Linked DNA regions of Rhinolophus ferrumequinum. Each later gene encodes a partner of the first gene's protein in a complex. Links are inferred from orthologs where the notes say so. Each region holds a gene or a part of one and is shown in the gene's direction. Other genes may lie near its edges.

Region 1 (8,215 bases):
TGGCATAAATGATCTCATTTGAACTTGACAACAATCCTCTGAGATGGGTAGGTAAGTTATGAGGGGACAATGCACAGATGGGAAAACTGAGATTTAGAGGTTAAATAAATTTCTCAATGTGGAAAAGAAAGCTTACCAAGGGCATATACTCAGTTAACATTATAGGGGGGAAAGAGATAGAGGTATTAATAATGAGGGGAAAGAAAATACAGCTCCTGGAAATATTATGTAGAAACATGAAGACTAATCTCATGCAAAATGATTTAAAAATGCAATCTATGAACATAAGTACAGAAATAAGTGGCATGTAAGAAAGCTCATCTCATTGAAAATGAAAACTGGCACTATAGAGGCCTGGTAAGTAGGATGATATGTGACATAAAGTGAAGCAATGGCTTAATGAATCTCATTCTCTGCTTTGAAGGTAGCATGTCTAAGTCTAGTATAAAAAAAACAAAGTCACCCCAGATTCTCTAGGAGTCAGGGAGTCAGTGAGCAGATTTATTAGAAAACAAAATACACAATAAAATATATATATATATATATATATATAATATATGAATGTAATATACATATTACATTTACTTGCTTTAAAAAAGATCTAGGGCCGGCCGGATGACTCAGGTGGTTGGAGTGCCGTGCTCCTAACACTGAGTTCACTGGTTCGATTCCCACATGGGTCTGTGAGCTGCACCCTCTACAGCTAAGATTGTGAACAACGGCTCTCCCTGGAGCTGGGCTGCTGTGGGCTGCTGTGGGCTACCCTGTGCTGCCATGAGCTGGCCGGCAGCCGGCATGAGCTGCTGTGAGCAGCCCACCGATCACTGGCAACCGACTGCCTGGGGGAGAGGGGGAGTGCAAGGCTCATAACAGCACGGGCCAGGGAGCTGTGTCCTACACAACTAGACTGAGAAACAACGGCTTGAACAGGAGTGGGGGGAGGGGGAGGTGGAAGAAGGGGAAAAAAAATCTAAAATCTATTTCTGTTTAGAACATTGAGACCGTGCATAGGCAAATCAAATATTCTCATTATAAAATAATTTTAATGTAAAATATTTCTTATATCAGTGGAAGAATAGCCACTGAGAAAAAAGACTTGATTTCCTTTTATAAATAACTATGGATTAGAGTACAACAATAGTTCTAACTCTGCTATTGCTGTGCATTTAAAGCCAAGATGATGACTGTATTGAAAAAGAGGGAAGAGAAAATCAATAGATTATTGCTTCAATGAAGCTCACAACAGTGCTGATTAGAGAACACAAATGGATTGCATAATAGTAAAATAACTATAAACTGGGTATGGATTTAAGCCTATGTTAAGACCATTCTTAACTGCATTGTATCTTTTAAAAAACATGCATTGAAATTACAACAATAAATTAAATCTATTCGACCGCAAAATTTAATACATAAGAAATAGCATTTATTAATGATCTGGAAGAGGGAGTAAATAGCATGTTAATGAAATTTGCAGATGATACTAAATTGGAAGGTGTTACAAACAACAATGCAGACAGCAGCTTAATACAAACGAACCTTAAAAAGTTAGGGAAAAGCCAATGGTAGCAAAATATAAAAAAGCAAATAGAACTTATACAAGTATTCATTGGAAAAATTTCAACTTGAGTAAGAATAATACAAAAGAAGTACGGATAGAAAAGTGACTTTGAAATTTGATCAGGATTTTCTAACTATTATGGACTGGTTAATCCATTCTTAAGAGGGCCTTGGCCAGCTACTGGGAAGTAGTCACTCCTTTACTCCGCTATCCCCTCTCTAGATGGACCAGAAGAACTATATTGCTTAGTTGTAGACATTTTGGAGACAAGCAGAATGAAGAAAACATAGAGATGAGGCATATCAGTTAACAAAACAAACAAACAAACAAACAAAAACAACATACTGAAGAGAAAGGAATGACTAATAAAGACACACGATTATGTATTGGTATAATCTAATGGAGTGTTCATAATGAAGAGGGACCATGAGTGTAAAATTCTTAGCTCAGTGCATGGCACCTGAGCACTCAGTAAACATTAACAATCATTATTATTAGTAGTAATATTATTATTATTGTTACTGCTGCTGTTACTACCACCCTGAGAATTATTACTCCCTCCTGGCAACGTCTTTACTCAGATGTTGAAGGGATTTATTCCTTGAACCTGTTAAATGCTCTTGGGCCTTTGTACTTCTTGTTCTTGCAGCAATACCTTTCCCTCCTTTTTGTCTAGCCAAATTCTCTTCATTCTTCTCCCAGGGACTTGGAAGTTCTTTGTCTTGGAAACATTCATTGACCTCCCAAAACTTTTAGTTGCCCTGGTGTAAGCCCCCATTTTGCCGCTTTCAGAGTACATTGGAGTATAATTGTGTGTGTCTTTTCTGGCTTTCCCATTACACTCTGAAAACTCTGTGACAGTAAGGACCCATCTGGGTCACTGTTACAATCACAAAGCTTAGCACCATGCCTGCCATTCAGAAAATGTTTGTTGAATAAAGTTTGCAAAAGTCCCCAATTTCTCTTCTTGCCCCACTGCTCCTTTCGTGCCCTACAACACCTAAGCAAATTTGGTACCCAAAATGTTGTGAATTCTTCGGTCCCCAAGTTAGATGTGAAAACTAAGCTCAAACAATGGTATGGGCTTCATTTGTGATTTTAAGGTAACGGCTACATATCTCAACTGATGTTTGATTGTGTGCTTTAATTTCCCAGGGATTCAGAGTTGTGCAGGAGGTAAAGCACCAACCTTTGTATAAAAGGTGGTGAATTCTTAGATATGATCCAGACACAGACTACTCACAATCTAAGATTGAGGAATGAGATGGCTAGACAAAATGCTCCTGGATACCAGCTCTCACCATAGTTCTTATCACTATAAGGTGGGGGAAGGATATTCAGAATGCTTGCTTCCTTTTAAGTTGCCTTTCCTTCTATCCTTAATAGAATTTATGTCTGCACTTCTCTGATCCACTGATAGCTGGTGGCAGTTCCAGAATTTCTATTTAAGAGGAGCTTAAGGACAACAATCTAATTGAATGGGAGACTAGGAGACTTTTTCTTTAAGTTAAATTTGTACAGAAAATTCACTATTTTTACCCTCATTGCATGTTCATTTCGGAGGGTGCTCTTGGATATAAGTGGATGCGAAGGACTCCCCAGCCACCCCGCTCCTGAGAGTGTATCTATCTTTAGTGTAGAGACATTTGAAATAAAGGAATAGAAAGGCTTGATAAGAAAAGTTTGACTAGGTCTCTTTTGCTATTGCTATTTACATTTGTAAACTATACAGGTGAGAATTAATCGATATGCTTTCAAAAAGATTTGAGTTTGAAAAAGCCGAGTCAGCCATGGGAATAAGCACCAGGCTATAGCATTAGGTCTGGGGCCTGGAGGTCAGTGTAGTCATAAGGAAACAGGCAGCTTGACCAAGGAAGAGTCTTACTTGAGGTAATCAATTTATCACACAATTATTTATTTCAGCTGTGGACAGATACAGTGGAATATAAGATAACCTCAAGGAGCATGCAGCATAATTGGGAAGGCAAGAAAATGCCTACCAGCCTATTTAAGCATATTTGTGAGACTCCTCTTTGGTGTTCATTGTTCCTGATGGTTATTCTCTTAGCCTAATTATGAGGGGAAAATAGAATGAAGAAAAAAATGCATGGGAAGGAAGGGGCATGTGGCTAAAAATATTGACTCTTAAGAGATGTGCTCCAAATTTAAAGCAATACATGCATAGTTTTAAAGCTGGAACTGTAGGTAACATCTAATTGGGGCCTCTTATTTTGCAGAGGAGAAAACTGAGGCCTGTTTAGCAAAGTACCCAGCTCATGAGCAGCAGGATTAGGGCCACAAGCCAGGTCCTCTGACCACCAGTCTAGTGTCCTTTCTATTACAATGTAGTGTCTTTGAAGGTGAGGTAAAACGACCTGAGTCACCTTATGCCTAAGTCTGTGTTAAAGAACCTTAGTTTTCCCTTTAATGTTTAAATGGTTTTTAGAATAATTGGTTACCCACATCAGGAAATTTTTTAGCATGACAGTTTTCATTTATCCTAATTTCTCTGTTACCAAAATAGAATCTATCAATGCTAAAATTTCTAGTCCGTATCAAAGGGAAAATTCAATAATTAATCTGAATAACAAACTAGAAAGCTGGTGTTTTTTTTTTTTACCTGTATTCACCCATCCCTCCACTCTCATATCTTTAAATATGTGAATGATTTACAATTCATCTCTCCCTCCCGACCTCTTTTCTGAACCTCAGTTTCATATTTCAACTGCTGCATCTCTACCTGTTTTTCCTCCCATGACCTCACGTCAGCAGGAAGCCAACTTCCACTCCACATGTCCCTATTTCTGTCAATGACAGCATCGTTCTTTCAGTCATCCCGGTGTGAAATCGTGGCAGCATCTGGGACTCTTTCCTTCTTGTCTTCCACATCTAATAGGTTACCAATTTCTTGGCTTCCTGAAACATGTCTCTCAATTCAATTCCTTCTTTTCTAATTCTATTTTGTACACTCTCGTTCAAGGCCTCACGATCTCATTTCTAGGTAGTGACAATATGTCCAACTCATGCTGCTTCCCAGTTTGGCCCTGGCAACCATCCTACAACCGTGTGGACTGCGCGCGTGCTCTCTCTCTCTCAATAACCATTAAAATAAAAACGCAAAGACCTATTTGATCCTTTTGGTTCTAGCTTTCCACGTCTCCCCAGCGTCCATAGATGACAACATCCAAACTCAACCCCCTGAATAATGTTGCCCATACCTTTGCAACCTCGTCTCACTTTTCCTCCACAGAACCATCCCTTCCAATCAACAATTACTTTTCTTCTCGATACCTAGTTCCACCTTTTGCTCACACGTGGAACGAATTCTAGCGTCCTCATCTGAATTCAGCTTTGTTAAAATCACCAACCAGGGCAGCAGACCCTCCTCAAATTCCGTAGGTATCTACCGATGGTTCCCCTGAGGCAGCCTTCAGCCCTATATCCTCAGAAATATCTTTCCAGGTCTGTCCCCTTCCTAACTAGATAATTAAGTCCCGCAAGGCCACAAAGCAGCCTCCTATCCCTTGTATTTCCTGCGCCTATTTCACAGGAAATGTTTCTTGATAAGGACTGAGTTGACGGGATAGGTGGTGGTAACTTGCTAAAAAGATGTGAAGGTACAAAGGGTTGCAGAGGCACAGGTCCCCCTCCGCGTGCCCACACAATAGGGCAGGTGGCCCCCGCTGAGCGACCACCGGCGGCGGCCGGCGGCCTGACGGGTTCCAGGGCGTCGGGAGCAATGGTGCCCCTCAGGGTGCAGGTCCGGGAGTCCCAGGCGCCGCCCCACGCCGGCTGGCCCCCGCGTCTGCGCTGCGGCCGGGCCCCGGGCGTACGGGCAGGCCCGGTCGTTCCGCGCTCGGAGGTAGGTGGTGCTGTTGCCGTGACTGTCTTCCTCATTGGCGCGGGACGCAGAGGCGGAATGTTCAACTCCTGACTCTGGCGGAAGCGTGGAAGCCGCGCGAGCCGCTGTCCTCTCGACCCCCCGCCGCCGCTCCTGCCCTCGCCGCGCGCGGGGCCTGTGCGCCCCCGGCTGCTTCTCGCGCCCGGCCCGGGAGCCAGGTAAGGGCCGGCCAGAGGCCGCGGAGGGAGAGGCTGCGAGGGAGGCCCGCCGCGCTTGCGAGCCGTCCGGGCGTCTCGGGGCCGAGGCCCAGCTGGGGTCGGGGCCCGGGAGCCCAGCCGGCCGTCCAGAGCCACATTGGGTTCCCCTTCCCGAACTGGGGCCCGCCCGGGCGGCGGCGGCCGGAGCGAGCGTCCCGGGCTCCCACGGGGTTGGCGCCTGATCTCAGCCGTGGCTCGGCCACGAGCGGCTCGGGAAGTTCGGGCCGGTCCCACGCAGAAGTTGGCACCAGAAAGAGCGGGGCGCAGCCCGGAGCGTCCCCGGCTTTCTCAGCCCTGGGAGCGCGGCGCAGGCTCGGGGCGCCTCCGGGACCGCCGCTTCCCCCCCGAACGCGGAGCCCCCGCCCACCGAGCCCACGACCCCAGGAGAGCAGCTCCGGAGCGCCGGCCTCGCAATGGGTGACCGGGCCACCTCTCGGGAGGCAAACGCGAGTCTCCCAAATCAGGGCAGGGTGCAGGGTACTTCCCAGCGTGCGAGGGGGACCGTGAACTTCTGCTTTTCTGCAGGGCCGGGCGCGAGGGCTCCCACCCTGCCCTCGTCATCGGGGAGCTCGCGCCCACCCGCACCCCCAGCATCCCCTTTTACCTGCCACGGGAGCCGAGGGTCTCCCCTTTGCCGACCCTGTGGCGTCCACGGGCTCGTGGGCTCTGAGACCAGCAACAGGCCCGGACGGAAATGCCAAGGCCGCCGCCTCACCTCGCTTGCTCCTGACAGCTTGCAGAAAAACTTTAATGCAAAACTGGCGAGATGATATCGAATTGCCAAAAAAAAGAAAAGAAAAGGAGGGGGCAATCATTGTTAGAGTGCTGAAAATGTATGTTTCTGATGCGGCTGATGCGCCTTGAGACCGTCTTCAAAAGCACTGTTTATGGAGAACTTAATTACTATTTTTGTTAGTTTCTTTAATAATGAAAGCAACACCATTTAGTGGCTCATTCCAAGTGATACTGCAATAAGCAGCTCTCTCAGCAATAATGTTGTATTAGAATCGACTTACAATTAATTCGAGGATATTTGAGCTGATTGTTAAAGTATATTCATATTTTAAACTTAAAGCTGTTCTAGGAGAGCCTTCTTGCTTTCCTGAACTCGGTTGAATTGAACAGCCAGGATTCATGGATCCAAATCTACAACACATTTAAAGACAAAAATAAACAGGTGATTCAAGACAATTAACGTCTTCTTTGTAATAGGCCCATCTCCACAGCGACATTTCATGGTTTTTGATTTTCAAAAAAATAATGTGATGGCGCATTTTAATTATGATTTTGGTCATTTGTAGAGCCTTTGTTTTAAAGCCCTGCTACAATAGTGAGGGATTTGGGAGATTGTAAATGCATATGAATTCAGTTTGTTTGGAAAGAGGGAATTAAGATAAAGAAAAGTGGTCTTTTAGAGCAATGCATACTGTTTATTTTACTCTTAAACAACTTAATTACTACTGTAACTTTTTGGGAGTTTTTTTTTAATTGGAAAATACTGTTTAAATCAAAGTTTTAGTGCTAATAATTCTAGAGTAAATGACCATAATGTAATGGCAAGCATATTTTTTTCTTGTACAAGAAAGCAAATAGGTGGTTGATCTCCTTTTTTTTAATCTGTTAGGGAACACGTAAGGACATATTAAAGAGAGGGAGGCAGGGGGAGACAGAGAGAGAGAGAGAGAGAGAGAGAGAGAGAGAGAGAGAGAGAGAGAGATAGGGAGGGAGGGAGGGAGGAGGAAGAGAGAGAGAGAAAAATAACCAAATATTAAGCACAAGGATTTGGATCTAAAAATGGATGGTTAAAGATCTTGGGAACCAAGGGACCTTCTTGCCAAATAAGGAAACTTGGCAAGCTGCGCTGTGTATTTTAAATTAGCACAAGAGTGAGTGTTATTGGCAATATATTGGCTGAGTGCCTATCTGGAATGAGCAGTGAAACTGACTGATAGGGCTACAAAATTATAAACAGAGTTATGAGGGGCGTGGAGTGAATAACCTAGTCATCAGAGAAAACACTGGAGAAATTACAATGATGTTTCATGAAAAGAGGTCAGATGCAGAATGAAGTTATTAGTGTGGATTGAAAGAGAAAAATGGACAGTTGATTTTTAAAAAATTAATAGATTCAGAGAAAAGAGGAGAGAATCAATGAGTTTAAAAAAAAACACCAGGAAAAGGTGTTTTTGGCGATATAATACTTCTTGGAATAAGATAGCCTTGTATCTGTATCCAGAGATGTTGGAAATAGAAATCAATTTGGATCATTTGTTTTCCATTTTATTTTACCCAGGACAGATTGATAGGGAGGGTGTCTTTTCTATCTAAATAATAGGAACAGCTTAGGCACCTTTTGGTCTTACTGCAGGGAAGATTTAGGTTACTTCTTTTGTGGCTATTAACCTTGGCCCGCTACACACAAATAAGCAGAGTTCCAGCTGTGACCAGAAGTACCTGTGAAGGAAAGAGAGCTATAAATGCTAGAGTTTAGATTGGTTTGACTGATACATGGGTGCTTTTGTGTCAGACCCTCCTATGGACAGCTGAAGCATCGAT
Region 2 (7,187 bases), on another chromosome or scaffold:
GAAGTTCTTAGTCATTCCTGCTCTTGTGCTTGAAGCGATGCTGTGGGTCTATGTAGTGTTTCTGCATTTCATCCTGTTTTTACATGCCAGGCAGTTACTGTTTGTCTAGCCTTCTTTACTCCTATTCTAGTCACTGCACATAATAACTGGCATTTGAACGCTTACTGTATACCAGGCATTATGCTTGATGGCTTTACACTATTAGTGTAATATTCATAATAATACCTATGTGAGTGGGACTATTGTTACCATATCTTGCCTATGAGAAAAGGGAGCTTTTGAGGGTGTAAATACTTGCCTTAGGTCATAGAGCTAACAAATTAAACGGCCCATATACAAATCCACATCCGCCTTCACCACCTTTACTTGAACTGCATCTGGACTAGGCCAGATACTCACCATCAGTTTTCTCTTCCTTCTCATATTGGTAAACACCTGTACTTCTTCAAATGGGTTCTCCCGGTGACACTGACAGGTAAAGGTCATAGTCAGTGACGACTTAGCGTTTTTTATAATCACTGGGGGCTGTGATTCCGGGCATTGGAATAACCCTGAACGTGTTACTTCCCAGCCGTTCATACTGATGGTGAAGGGACTCATGCTCAGCCTAGCACAGTAACATTGTTCAGAAGTGTGTTTGTTATCAATTCAGGAACCAGGAGTATCTGGAAAATCTAAAATACCTCTGGTTATGCCAGTACAGTGAAGAAGAGCTTACTTAGGCTGCGAGCTGGACCCTTCACACTCATACCTTAGCTCTGTCAGCTCTGTGACCCCAGCAAATCACCTTCCCACCGTTTCCTCACCTGTAAAACACAGGCAGTACTAGCACCTTCCTCAAAAGAGAACGTGAGGACGAAGTAAGACAATGTTAAGTTCCTCGCAGGGTATCTTGCACATGGTCAGCTTCAAGTGTTGCCTTCCTATTGTGAGCCAACAGGAAGATCACAGTCGTATTAAGTTTAGAGCTTCGATAATTAGAGCAGAGCTCCGAGGTGCAGATGGTCCCGTGACGAGGTGCTGGTCAGTTTGTCCTTCAGTGTTAACGCAGACTTGCGTTGGTATTCCTAAGGTCTGCTACGTCCAGCCTGTAAGTAACATAAATATACTTTGGGGATATAAACAGTCTTAAGTTCTGCAATGTTTCTGTAAACATCTTAAAGTAGTTTATGATTCAAAATATTCTTGCTTGTAGGTGATACGAAAGTGAGGTAGGTAGTAAGAAATTGATTACCCCATTCTCTTGCCAGACTCACCTTAGGATAGATGTAACTTGAAAAATATGAGATGGAGTTGTGCATGCGCTTGTGTGTTTGTGTTGGTTGGAGGGATGCAGGTGAAAGAGCTGTCAAGTCTCAGTTATTGATCAGAAGGGAGGATTGGTGTAATTGTACAGATCTGGGGTTTGGTGTACGAAATAGATGCTTTAAAAATTACTCTAAGAAATTACATTTATTTAACCAAACTCTGTTTTGTTTAGTCTTCTCTGTAATGTTTAAACACATCCTAAGTTTTCGAACAAAACCCATCAAGGAAACCTATCTTGCTGTGTAAGGTCGGGGTGGGAAACCATCTACTTTTTTACTAAGGTCCTCTGAACTGTGCAAAATTTCCTTGTAGGATATCCTGGATAAATGATTTAGTTAGTGATTATCTGTTTCAATTTCCATTTTTAAAATTATGAACATAGACTATTTAAAACTGCTTAAGGAGTAGCATACTTTTATATATTGTGATCAGGTCAGAGAGAGGGAAAAGGAGTGAAGTAGAAAGGCAGATGATTGGCAACTTTTGGGTGGGTGACTTTTCTGTAGAGTGTCATGTATATTCATAACCTTTCCCCAACCGAAAAGTGACACAGCACGATGTCACCCGCATCTTCAGTTCTTTTGTACTAAATTTGTGTTGCATTTTTACAGTACAGCAAGAATGACATTCTTGGGTTGTATCTGATTCAGCGTATGAACTGGAGCAGACGATTTAAGAGTTTTTCCAGATAGAAGATTCCATGATCCTTTGTCATCATCTGATCATAACAGTGACTGAAATAATAGCTGAGCACTTGAAAAAAATCCAAAAGTTCTTCAATCGAAAGAAATACTTTTTTGCTAATGACTTCTGAATGTCATTGGGGGACAGTTTAGATGAGGGGCTCTTTCCGATTCTATTTCTGGGATTCTGTGTTTTTGACTGTTGAATGTTACATACCAGATTAGTTCTTTCTTCTTCCTTTTCATTAAAATATGTACTTTAGTCTAAGAACAATAGAAAACAGCTTTCTCTTTTAGCTGTCTCAACTCATTCTAACCTCATTCCTAGCTTAGCCTAACTTTATAGTTTATTTTGGCTGCAAAATATTACCCACTTTTTATCTGCTATGAAAATACATTTTTCCTTTAGTGAGGGGGGAAAATGCAAGCTAACACATATTTATTTTGGATTATCTTTCCCCCTGCCATTATTTTTCTAACTCCTTGCGCTCTGTTCATGCCTCTGCCAGTCTTAAAAAAATTTTTGGTTGAGTTTGACGATTGCGGGAATATTTTTGATGTAGAAGTGGTTTGTAAAATGTGAGAGATTTCTGTTGAATTCCTTCTCATGGCATCATTCAGTAGCAGTTTGCTTGATACAGAGATTACGGTTGATGTCTTTGCTATTCTGGAAAAGTTCTAGGTTTAGAAGGATCCTGTTAAGAGTTCACTTCAATATAGAAACCAGGAAAAACTTCGTTATCTAAAAAAGACCTAGGTGAATATAAGCCTCATTATACAACTACATTTTCACTCACTTTCCTTTGCAAAAGTGGACTTGATTACGCTATTAGAAAGTAATAAAAATGATCTGTGATCCTGCCAATGTTGCCACAGTCTGATCTCTGTTATTTAGAATCATGTTACTCTAAAAGAGCAGAAATCTATCGAGAGAGTCTCTGGGCAGATTTTGGACAGTTTTGTTTCTTACGGTTGAAAGCATTTGCTATCATATTTCCATAAGGTGGTGGGGGTGGAATTAATCTCCTCCCCTTGCTACCGTCCAATTATATGTGGTAAATAAAATTTGGCAAATACATGAGAGCAAGTAATCCCATTACCTAGAGATAGTAGACATTTTGGTTTAAGAAATACATAGTTAAGATCAGATTTATGGTATATACTATTTTCTGAGATTTTTTTCCATTTAATAATGTGTTCTCATGTTGTATAGTTTCTGAATGTTATTTTAAGGGATAGCATAATTCTGTTGTTGGGAGCTATCAAATTTAATTCTCTATTAGTAGACATTTAATTTTTTGGTCAAAACAAATTTTCCCCTCATTATTTCCTTACGATAAAGTAAAATTATTTTTTTTAAAGTTTGAACATTTTCAAGTTTCTTTAATGCATATTGTTAAATTTGTTTAATTTTATCGAAAATACTTATCACCACTTTATGTTTTATGCTTATGATCTGAATATGTGAGTATTCCATGTGTATTTGTTTTGTCACGTCTTGGTCAGCAGTGGGCACTTTTGTTTTCCTACCCTTTTCTGATTTATAGTGGAAAATGCAGTGAGATTGTACCTCTCTTAGAAATGCCTACTAGGTGGTCAGCTCTTAAGCTCCTTGGCCTTTGTTTTGGTCTGAACCTGATTCTGGGACTTCTCGATCAACCCTTTGTATTATTAACTAAACTTCCTAACCACCTGAATGTTTGTGTTAGACCAGGTCTGGGTGGTTTCGTTAAAACCAGGTTGTCACTGGTTGGTTGAGCAAGCATTTGGAAATTCCCTGTGAAAGGAAAAGAACACCCAGCAAAGCTGCCCATGTGTACAGTGTTCTCTGCCCATCCTTTATGTATTTAGCAATGACTTCGGCTGAACCAGTTTGTGCTTCCAGAAGAACCAGTCCTGAGGTCTCTCTCTGCCCTTCTCATCAAAGCAAACACCTCGGTCATCTCCTCCCTGTGGCCTTTTGTTTGGACCACGACTAGCTGGTTCTCAGCGTATAGGTTACCTGCCACCTTGTTTATACAGCTTTAGCGCCGTAGGTATTGTTGGGCTTACTTGTGTTTTGTAGGTGAAACTTGCTCAAATACAATTTCTGTTTTTCTGGAATTTATTCGTGTTCTCTGAAATGCTGCTGCTATTGTTGCTGGCGCTGGTATAAACTCATGGATCCTACTACCCAGGAGGGACCCGGCTTTGACCCTGAAGAGAGTGCTGACATACAGTCTTCAACAGGCAGTTGTCGTACAGGTAAAAGAGCTTTGTACTCAGAGGGAGAAATTGTTCTGTTTAGTATTTCACAGGTAAACCTTTTCTTTAATTAACCAACTTTCACTTACCTTGAGGTCAGTCAGGTACCAAAGGGAGGGGAGATTCTGAGCAGTCGGTCAGCTGGGTGGTGGTGCACGCATGCGCTCACACGCTTTTCTCTTCCTAGGGAAACTCCTTTCTCAGAGCCACCTAATTACTCTCTTCGTGTAGACAATTTAAAGAAGCTTAGTTATCTCTTTTCCTAGCCTCTAGCAAAGCAATGATGGCCATTCAAAAACCAGGAACAAGTCTGGGGAGGACTTACTGTGGTGGAAAATTGAAAAAAAAAAAGTAATGTAAACAACGCAGCTGGCTGTCACAGAGGGAGCTGCTATAGCAGTTATAAGAGCCATATATTCTCTATGTATTCTGGATACAAATCTTTTATCAAATACTTGATTTGCACACATTTTCTCCTCATCTCTGGCTTGTCTTTTCATTGCCTTCATGGTGTCTTTGGAAGAGGAAGAGTTTTTAATTTCGATGAAGTCTAGTTTATCATATTTTCTTTTGTGGATCATACTTTTGATGTCACATCGAACAGATCTTTAGCCAAGATCGCAAAGATTTTCTCCTGAAAGTTTTAGCTCTTATATTTACGTCTTGAATCCATTTTGGGGTGAATTTTTGGGAGCGGTGTGAGCTAAGCATTTATTTATTTTTGCATGTGGGTATCCCACTTGTTCCACTGCCCTTTGTTGAAAAGACTCTTAAAGGTGCTTTTCCTTGAAGATCTTACTGCTCGGTCTTGGATGTACTAATGAGCAGAAGGCTTTATTTTCTGATTGAGTTGGAGGAGGAGAGAAGGAGGGGGTTTCTCTTGGGTCGTGGCCTTATTGTAAGTAAGTCTTGTTACCAGAGTTTGTGTTGCTTGATTCCGATTCTGTTAAAATGGTGTCCACAGAGTCTTAGTAAACAATGAGTAGAGTTTTAAGCAGCTTGGTTTTAGTTAAGAAGTTGCTGTGTTATCTTCTCCCTCTGACGGTGATTATGAAATTTTATTTTAACACACAGTTCGGGTCAGATAAGTCTAGGATAGTGTAAGCTAACTTGAACATTTGGTAAAAATAGTTCCTACATGAGAATGATGAAACCCTTCTTAAAACATTTTCTTTTTCCAAACAGTTACTTCTAACCATAAAAGCAAAACATGTTTATTATAGAAACTTTTGGAAATTAACGAAGTATGAAGGAAAACCTTTGTTCCCTCATCACTGCCATCCCGACTTTGACACAGCAATACCTTTTAAATTTTGTGTATGGACTCTGGACAGCGTAGTTCCTTGGAACAATATTTGGATCTAGTGATGGATTCACGCCTGTTTTCTTGCATTTCTCATAGGAAGGGAAAAAGTTAGGTGCTAATATTTGATGAGCATTTATTATAAGCCAGCCTTGTACTTCACAAAGCTTTATGAAGTATTAAAATGATACTTAAATAGTATTAAAAATGTATCCCCTCTCTCTGTCTTCCCCAAATAATTTGTCCAGTGTCACTCAGCGAGTGTGTGATAGATCTGAAAATCGGGGGGGAAATTTAAGCATCTTTCAGTTAAAATCCTTAACCTGTGTTTACTTTCATGATTTGAAAGGCTTTAAAAAGAAGAAAGGATCAAGTTCTCCTTTTCTTTCTTTTCTGGCTCATGTGGCCTCCCTTTTATTCTCTCTCAAAATTGGAAGTTCCAAGATCCCCTTATGTCTTGCTCAAATTAAGGTTTGTTTCTCTTCTCCTTTCTGTGCTGTGCTTTCAACTTTGAGAGCCTTAGTTTTAACTTTGGTATTTGTTAGCGGAATAGAAAGATAAGAAGAGAGCTGGGATTTTTGACAATGAAAATTCCTTCAATTGGATTTTAATTTTTTAAGCATTTAATAATTAGCTGTGGATAACCAGGCAGGCCATTTAGGTTCTTCCTCCATAAAATGGACTAGCACTCAGCAAAGATCCTTTCACGGTGTGTCAATATTCCTAATTTTTTGTGTTAGTGGAGCCATAAAATAAGGTTCTGGTGATACGGGCAGAGGTATCTGCCATTGGGACCAGTATTTAGAAACCTCTGTCTTCTTATAAGGAACCTTAAATCTCAAATCATCAAACTGTTTGCATTGAGTTAATAGGTAAGAAGCATCAATTGTACTCTCCTTTTTATGTAAACAAAATGTGTGTGTGTGTGTGTGTGTAGGATATTTGTGATTCTGGTGCTTAGTTCTTCCTCCTTCCTTTAGGAGATGGTTTTGACAGTGGGGGGTGGGGGCCTCTTGACAGCCCGAACCTCCCACTGACACCCTCACTTTATCAAGTAGCATAACTTATTCTAATCTGTTGCTTATGTAGTTGCCATAGTATTCTGCCTGGGAACAGAAAGGTGGATGAAACGTTTGTCCAGTAATCCCGATTTTTTTCCCACCCTCATTGACATTTCCCAGCAGAAATTTGTTTCTTAGTGATTCAGGCTAAGGCTTGGGAGTGTAATGAATGCAAAGGGAGGTGGGTGTTTGGACTCTGGACAGTTAAGAAAAAAAAAGAGTTCTTTATATTAACCTAACCCACTCTGTTAATCACTAAACTACTTTGTGCAGTGATTTAAGCTAGCTACTCGTTATATCAATTGTATTTATTTCTGGCAATTGTTTTGTTGGGGCTGACGATTAGAACTCAGGCTAGAATGGAGCTTTTCCCTGCTAACCAGGCGCATTAAAACAAACAAACAAACGAAACAGAAAACAACCAAAGGTCACAGGTTCCAATGATCAGCTTAACATATTTGGATCGGTGAATCAGGATGAAGAATCCTAAACGTTAGGAAGTGTGGAAAAGAAATCCTAAAGGAAATAAGAGAGGAATTATTTTCCTCTCTCTTATTCTAGTGAACTTTTGACTTGGTTGCAGAAGAA
Region 3 (7,827 bases), on another chromosome or scaffold:
CATTCTCTATGGTGGGGGCTGTCCCACGCATTGTAGGACGTTGAGCAGCATCCCTGGTCTCCACCCCATAGATGCCAGTAGCACCCACCCCACACCCAGTCGTGACAACCAAAAATGTCTCCAGACATTGCTAATGTCCCTCCTGGAAAAAGGGACAAAATCACCCCAGATGAGACCCATTGGGTTAAATAGGCACGCACCTATTAATTAAGCAATCCTACGTATAGATCTGACAGTACATGAAATACTTTTTGCCCACAAAAAGATAACGAGCAATGAATATTCTTTATGCATAATAGCCCCAAACTGCAAACAACCCAAATGTCCATCAACAAGTGAATGGAGAAAGAAACTGTGGTGCATCCACACCCTGGGATACCACTAGAAATAAAAAGGAATAAGCTAATGATATACACGACATGATGGACAAATCTCAAAAACATCATGTTCATTGTGAATTACTAAAAATCACTAGATGGCACACTTAAGAAGAGTGATTTATATGGTATGTGAATTTTATTTCAATAGAAGACAAAACATGTTGAAAGAATCCAGACATGAAAAATCCAGACATAAAATCATAAAATGATTCCATGCAGTGTGAAATTCAAGAAGAGGCAAAATTAATCTATGGTGATATGGTAGAATCCAAAGGACAAGGTAGCCTGAGAAAGGACACAAGTAAAATTTACGTAGCTGGGGAGTAGACTAGGTCATGGCCACGGGTGTATTGCTCGTATATAAAAATTCACGGAGCCTCACACCAAAATATCTGTGTACTTTACCATAGGTAAACTGTACCTCAATCAAAATAATAATTAAAATAAAAGACATAACACATTATAGTTAAAGTGGAAATCACCTGTGTTCACCTCCCCAACTCCATTCCCCTCCCAAATCGCATAAACATCCTCAATAAAAATGAGATTGAACAATGACAGCACCCCAATTCTGTGATTTATAAGAATTCATTTAAGCTTCTCAGCAACCGTCTGAGGCATCGTGTTTCCCCGAAAATAAGACCTAGCCAGACCATCAGCTCTTCTGCGTCTTTTGGAGCAAAAATTAATATAAGACCCAGTCTTATTTTATAAAATAATTTTTGCTCCAAAAGACGCAGTAAAGCTGATGGTCCGGCTAGGTCTTATTTTCAGGGAAACACGGTAGGTGCTGCTATTATCATCCCCTTTTACAGATGAAGAAACTGAGGCACAGAGCAGTGAAGTAACTGGGTCTGGGTCTCACTGTTAGTGTGTGGTAGTGCCAGGATTTGAACCCAGGTAGCCTGACCCTCCTCAGCCGGGATGCCAGGCACACTACAATCACACTACTCCATACATTACCACAGACTTGATAGTTTCACATTCTGTGTTTTTTTTTTAGTAATTGATATCAACAGTTTCAAACTGTATCATTTTTTCTACTTGCTTTTTTATCCTACTCAAGGAGGTGTTTTTGACTCTGTTGACACATTTAGTTCTGGTGTCAGATAAATCTACTCCCATTTCTTTCTTTGGCCCCTACTGGTGGAGACTTGGTTTGCAAAGAGCTTTATGTTTGGAAAAACAATCCTCTTTCAGTTTCTCCCCTGCTAAGAATCTATCAGTGGCTCCCACAGTTCTCAGGGTCAAGTCTGAACTCCATATCCACCATCTGCAACATCTGGAGCCTGCCCTCCATTCCAGGTTCATCAGCACCAGAAACCCTAGCCATGCCCTATGATGCCAGGTTTATTCACCCATTTGTTCATCCAGCCGCTCTTTATTGAGCATCTTTTCTGTACTAGGAGCCAGAGACCCAGCAGTAAACAAGACAGATAATGATCCCTAGCCTCTGGGAGCTGACACCTTCCTGGTCAAGACAAATCAGAAAGAAAATACTAGAGTCAAATTTGCAACAAAAATCAAGTTATGCCAGGGGTAGCGTTTGGTAGGGAGGGTAGGGCTTGTTTTAGGTGGAGATGCAGTCAGGGAAGACATTTGAGTAAACATAGAAATGAACGGAGGAAGAGAATGCCAAGATGAGGAGAAGTATTGCAGAAATGGCCAGCATAAAGGCCTTGAGGCAGGAATAAGCATGTTTGAGGAGCAGTGAAGAGGCTGTGAGGCCAGAGAGGAGTGAGTGAGGGGTGATGAGGGCAGAGGAATCAGGACATGCCAGGTTCTCCCTCACCTCTAGGCCTTTGCTTCTGCTGTTCCTTCCACCAGACGCCCTTTTCCTCTTTACCCACTTTGAAAATTCCCAATTTGTCTTTCACAACTTAACTTCATTGCCATCCTTTCTGCCTCCTCCACAGTAGGGTGGCTGCCTCCTCAAAGCCACCACAGGCCTGGAATACCTTTCTCCTGACATCTTACACTGTGTCCACTCACTCATTCCACAAAGACTGAACGAGCATAGGCCAGACACTGGGCAATTTCAGAAAGTTACATTTAAAATAAATAAAACAGGGCCACGAGCCAGATATGACAGGGCATGGAGGTATTCTGGGAAGTTCTCAGAGGAGGGGACATTTAAACAGAAATCTAAATGATAAAGAAAGGCCAGCCTTGAGGATGTGATGGAAGGGCATTCCAAACCAGGGAACAGCCAGTGCAAAGGCCCTGAGTTTGGAAGGTAAGAATATTTGGGGAAGAGAGAGAAGGCCAGTGTTGCTGAATGGCGGTGTGTTGGTGAGGGGTGTGGTGGGGATGTGGCTGGACAGGTAGGCAGAGAGCTGACAGGACCACCTTGTAGCCCAGGTGAGGGTTCGGAAGTTTTTCCTAAGAGCTCCAGCCAGCTGGGAACAGGTTTTCCAGCAGGTAGAGGTAGGAGACGGGGTATGATTTAGGGTTTCCAAGGCCCCAGAGCAGATTGGAGAGGAGCCAGAGCAGCTGCAGTTATCATATCTGGTTGAAATTGTACAATTAGTCCTTCGTCTCCAAGTTTCAAGCCTGGAGGGTGACTCTGTTTCCAGTGCCACCAATGTCCCCAGCGGGCATTGATAAATAGTCGCTGAGTAAACGAATGCCGGAAGGTTGGAGTGAGAATTTGGCAGGTGTCCCCAGCTCCATCCGGGAAGGCAGCCTGGAACCTGGCAGGCAGCAGAGGGCCCATCCCTGGACTGGGTGGCCCAGTCTTGGGCTGGCTCAGATCCTTACTCTGCCACATCCTCCCATCTGTAAAATGGGTAAGGCTAGAATTAGAGGAAGACACCCTATTCCTCAGGGCAAGGGCCATAAACATCCTGGCTCCATAACTGGGATTAGGGTATTTTCTTTGAGCCTCAGTTTCCTCACCTGTAAATTTGGAGCAAAAGAACTCTGTCAAAAGGGTTATTTCATTGAATCTATAAATATTCAAGGAACAGCCAGGAGGCCAATGTGGCTGGAGGAAGTGAGCAAGTAAGTGGGAGGTGGGAGGAGAGGGGAAAGTTGAAGGGGGTCGTGCTTAGGACTTTGGCTTTTACTCTGAAGGTGTGAGCCATAGAGGATTCTAGGCAGAGGAGGGATGTGAGTTGACACAGGTGTTCACAGGGGCACTTGGCCTGTTGTGGGGGAAAACAGACTATGAGGCTGAAGGCAGAGCTGAAAGACTTGGGAGGAGGCGACTGCACTGGTCCAGGTGAAGGAAGACTGCAATTGGATCCCGTGGGGGCCTTGGGAGGGGAGAGAAATGGGCAGATTCTGGATTGGTATAATTTCTCCTTCTCCTTCTCTTTATTTCTCTGTTAACCCCCTCCACCAAGAGTCGCACAAAGGAAAAAGGGAAAGAGAAAACATCGTGCCCTGGTCTCTGGGACAACGCAAACCACGCACAGCCATGAGACACCAAGGAACCCGCAGCTCCCTGCACTTTGGTGGATCCCAGGAGGGCGCCAGAGTGCAGGCAACGCCGCAAGGGAGCGCTTCCCGCCCCGCGCCCCAGGGACTGCGGTTTGGTCCAGTCACCCGCTTGAAAGGGAGTCTTGAGGTGGGCCACGAGCCAAGCTGCACACTCCAGAGACTCTCGGAGACCCTTGAGAGGCCTCCACCCTCTGCCTCCGCATTTATGGAGCAGGAGTCTGCATTTATGGAGCACTATTTGCATACAGCAGCCCAAAGAAGAGGCTGATCCCCATTTTACAGCGAGGAAAACTGAGGCTCAGCAGCCACAGGATCCATGTGGCCCACAGCGAGTCAGTGATGGAGTTGCTATTCAACCTCCTTTTCATAACGGCAATAATAAAAATGACAGCTAACACTGATCGAGCGCTTACCGTATCGAGCACTAGGTCTGCAGTATCTTATTTTATCAACACTTGAGGGGTGAGCAGGTAAATTCTGTTTCATAGACGAGGCGCTCTTAGGGGTTTGGGGCTCCCCCCAAGGCATGAGGCGCTGGGATTTGAACCCAGATCTACCCAGAGCTTGTCTATAGGCAATGGGGAAGTTCCCGTGCCCTTTAACCCGGGTCCCGTAGGCCGAATGGGTCTAGAGGGCCTGAGTTTCCAAATACAGAGAGAGAAATTGGTTTTTGAGGGGTCCCAGGAGGCCCAAATGCCTCCGCTACTCCCTGCTTTAACCGGGCTCACTCTTTTCGGGTTCCCGCGCTCTCAATTGGGGTACCTCTGTACAGAGTGCGGATCCAGAAGGGCGCGGGGAGCAAACGAGGTACTGGTGGCTGCGGAGAGGGGCCGCCCGGCAGGCGGGACCCCGCAGCCCCGGGGGCCGCTGGGAGACCCGCCCCTTGGCCCCGCCCCCTCCCCGGGCGCCGACCTCGGCGGTCACGTGACGGGCCCGGCGGCCGCTGGGGCCGGAGGGCGAGGCGCGCGGGCGCGGCGGCCAGGCCAGGCAGGGTCGGAGCCTAGCAGGCCGGAGCGGCCCGCACGCCGGGCCTGGGTCTCGCCGTGCCCGCCCCCTTCCCTCCCTCCACGCCCCACACGGGGCGCACGCGCGCTCCTCCAGCCGCCCCTCCCTCCGCGCGGGGACCCCTGGCGGGTGGCGAGAGGACATGGCCAGCGACGCTGTGCAGGTAGGTGCACCTGCGTCCGCAAAGCTCCATGGCCGCCCGTCACCGGGGAACCCCGCCCGCGCGCTTCTGGGGTCCCCAGACGCCAGGGCGGGGGGGGGGCCTCCGGAGCGCCCTGTACTCCTTCCCGGGGCCGGCACCGTGGAGCCCCAGCACGGCCCACTTCTCGGCAGGTGGAGGTACTCACGGTGGGGAGCGGGGAGGTCCCGGAATCCCCCGAGCACCATGAAGCTCCGCCCCTCCCCGACAATTCGGGGGGACGCAGCGGAGGCGCGACTTCGGGTCTCTGAGGCTGGTTGTGCGTCCCGGTGCCTGTTGCCCCCGACACTCGCCCCCCCCTCAGCGTTCGGTTCCCGGCAGGTGCCGTTCCACCTGGTGCAGGTGCCTGGCACGGTGCCTCAGGAGGCGAGGAGGCCGCCCGGCCCGTGCCCTTCCCCCGCACAACAAAGCTCCAGCGGTCCCCGCCTCCAGACTGAGCTTTATGAGGGTCGACGCCACCCAGATTGGCACCTGTTGGCGGAAATGCCCGAGTCACCTCATTAGGTCTGGGGACGGGGGATCCACACGGCCACCCTCCGGGCTGTCAGGTGGAACCCGATCCCAGTTGGGGAGTGTCTGGGTCAATAGGCTGGGGATTCTCTCGGCCCTGGAATCCTACCTGGGCATGGGTGGCACGCGGGGTCAGCCCCTTCTCCCCCATACACATACACATACACAGGTACAGGTGACTGGTGCAAACCTGCCGCCCAGCCAGATTCTCCCTGTGCCACCTTGTGGACATTACAGTCCTAAACTCATCTCCCCTGGCTATGACAAGCAGGGCTAGGGTGACTTCTGACCTTTGGTTCAGTGACCCAAATCTGATACCTGTCCTGTGCCCACTTAGTACCTCACTATCCCTCCATTGTCCTGTGGTGCTGTGTAACCGGGATCTCATCTCCTTCTGCACCTGCTCTCCATCCCCTCTGTCTCCCCCATGTCCCCCTGTACCCCACCCCAGTCCTGCTGATGGCCTGCCAGCCTTGCCGAGGAGCTGGGCGTATCTGGTGTTGCAGATCACACAAGGTCAGACCTTGGGGCTGGGGAGGGCCAGGGTTCCTTTCTCTCCCCCCAGTCATGGGAGGGCTTTGTAGGAATCCCCCAGTGCATGCATGTGCTTGGTATGTACCAGACCTGACCCTGATGGAGGCTGTGATTCCTGGAACGAGGCTGGACCTGTGCCCTGGTTTTCCTTCCTATCTCTTACCCTCTTCCCTCCCTTCTCCCGTCCTGGTTATTCCTTTCTTGTGGCTGCTTGGGCTTGCCACTCTGTCCCTCTGTCCCAACGTGTGCCTGTCTGTTCTGTGTCCGGCAAGCGGATGTCCTGTCCAGATTCCGGAAACGCCCAAAGCATTGAAATCTCCGGACATGGGGGTCTAGATCCCTGGCTGCACTTGGAAACGGGGGTTTCTGGGAGGTGGGCCCTCTGAACCTGGGTCTCCTGCTCCACAGTGAGAGGTGGCGGGGAGCAGGGATTCTCCAAGGCTGGACCAGGCCTCTGATTCATAGGTTCATCCTGCTGGCCCACTGGTGACCTCTGCCCCCTGGGTAGGAGTGAGTCACTCCAGGGAGGAAAACCCAGGAGGCCAGGCTTCCCTCCATCCTGTGTTCGGCATATTCTCAGGCCTCAGCTGCTAGAGATGCAGCCGAAGGCGCCTGCTCCTCCTCTCTGCCTGGACCCCCATTTGAGCTGGCCCTGCTCCTGGCTGTACACCCCTGCTCTGCCTGCTGGGGACGGGGTGGGCCTGGGCAGTGGGCAGGGCCTGGTTGGGAGCGAGTAGTATTAGAAGACCCTGGGTTTAAATTCTAGCGCTGTCACTTCCTCACTGTGTGTCCTGGGCCCGGTGCCTTTGCCTCTCTGAGCCTCAGTTCTGACAGCAAAAAAATGGGACTAAGAGGGTGTTCATGGTCGTGAGGATGTAGACCCGGCAAGTGCTCTGCAGGCAGGACTGCCATGAAATCTTTACTGGTGGTCATGGTCAGCAGCCTAGGGTGTGAGTTTGTGTCCTTCAACCCAGGGTTTCTCCACACTATTGACATTCAGGGCTGAATCATTCTTTGAGGTGGGGACTGTCCTGTGCACTGTAGATTTTTGAGCAGCATCCCTGGTCTCAACCCACTAGATGCCAATAGCACCCCCTCCCCACCCCCAGTTGTGACAACAAAAAATATTTCTTTATCTTGCCAAATGTCCCCAGAGGTGAGCAGGTGTTGAAAATTGCTTATTTTTCCTCTCTGAGTCTCAGTTTCCTCACCTGTAAAGTAGGGGAGAATAATGGCAACTGCTCAACATTAAAGTAAGGGGTTGGTAGGATTGGGGGAGGTGAGGCCCTTGGCCTGCAGTAAACCCTCCCTGGGGGCAGCTGCCCTCAAGGTTGGTCAGGAGCAAGGAAGACTTACTTCATCTGTGAAATGGGTTCTTGCAATTTGAGGAGAGGGCCTGACAACCTAGCCTGCACTTGGATTCTGGGCACTCCTGTTTAAATCCTGGTTCTGCTTCTTGCTGGCTGTAGGACCTTGGGGCAAGTTATGACACTGTTCTGGGCCTCAGTTTCCTCATCTTGAAAATGGGGTGATAATAGCACTCGCCTCGTGGACTTAATTAGTTGACCTGGATGCAGTTTGGAGTAACTGCTGTTATTACTAGTCATACTTGAGCTTTAGAGGGCTGCTAGTTTGCTGGTCTCCAGTGCTGTGGGTCATGGTGTGGGTCTCAGGGAGGTCCCTAACCCAGCCTGGCACCCTAGGTCCCCAAGCTGTGGTCAGAAGCAGTGGCACCCAGAGAAGAAGCCGGAAGTT

The links. The genes of interacting proteins can lie anywhere in the genome.
Region 2: MAP3K20 (region 1) and AKAP13 share a complex: the UniProt entries of both Homo sapiens proteins name them as parts of the signaling complex. The link is inferred for Rhinolophus ferrumequinum from reciprocal best matches to the Homo sapiens genes MAP3K20 and AKAP13.
Region 3: MAP3K20 (region 1) and PKN1 share a complex: the UniProt entries of both Homo sapiens proteins name them as parts of the signaling complex. The link is inferred for Rhinolophus ferrumequinum from reciprocal best matches to the Homo sapiens genes MAP3K20 and PKN1.

The regions. Positions count from the first base shown.
Region 1 is NC_046291.1:51,787,307-51,795,521, reverse strand, and holds the start of MAP3K20 (mitogen-activated protein kinase kinase kinase 20), read left to right. Parts: upstream 1-5,010; 5' UTR 5,011-5,620; intron 5,621-6,263; exon of another isoform or gene 6,264-6,390; intron 6,391-8,215. UniProt on the Homo sapiens protein: Stress-activated component of a protein kinase signal transduction cascade that promotes programmed cell death in response to various stress, such as ribosomal stress, osmotic shock and ionizing radiation.
Region 2 is NC_046311.1:6,944,126-6,951,312, reverse strand, and holds the start of AKAP13 (A-kinase anchor protein 13), read left to right. Parts: upstream 1-4,123; 5' UTR 4,124-4,150; coding exon 4,151-4,235; intron 4,236-7,187. UniProt on the Homo sapiens protein: Scaffold protein that plays an important role in assembling signaling complexes downstream of several types of G protein-coupled receptors.
Region 3 is NC_046301.1:47,690,770-47,698,596, reverse strand, and holds the start of PKN1 (serine/threonine-protein kinase N1), read left to right. Parts: upstream 1-4,763; 5' UTR 4,764-4,971; coding exon of another isoform or gene 4,972-4,992; intron 4,993-5,989; 5' UTR 5,990-5,997; coding exon 5,998-6,054; intron 6,055-7,827. UniProt on the Homo sapiens protein: PKC-related serine/threonine-protein kinase involved in various processes such as regulation of the intermediate filaments of the actin cytoskeleton, cell migration, tumor cell invasion and transcription regulation.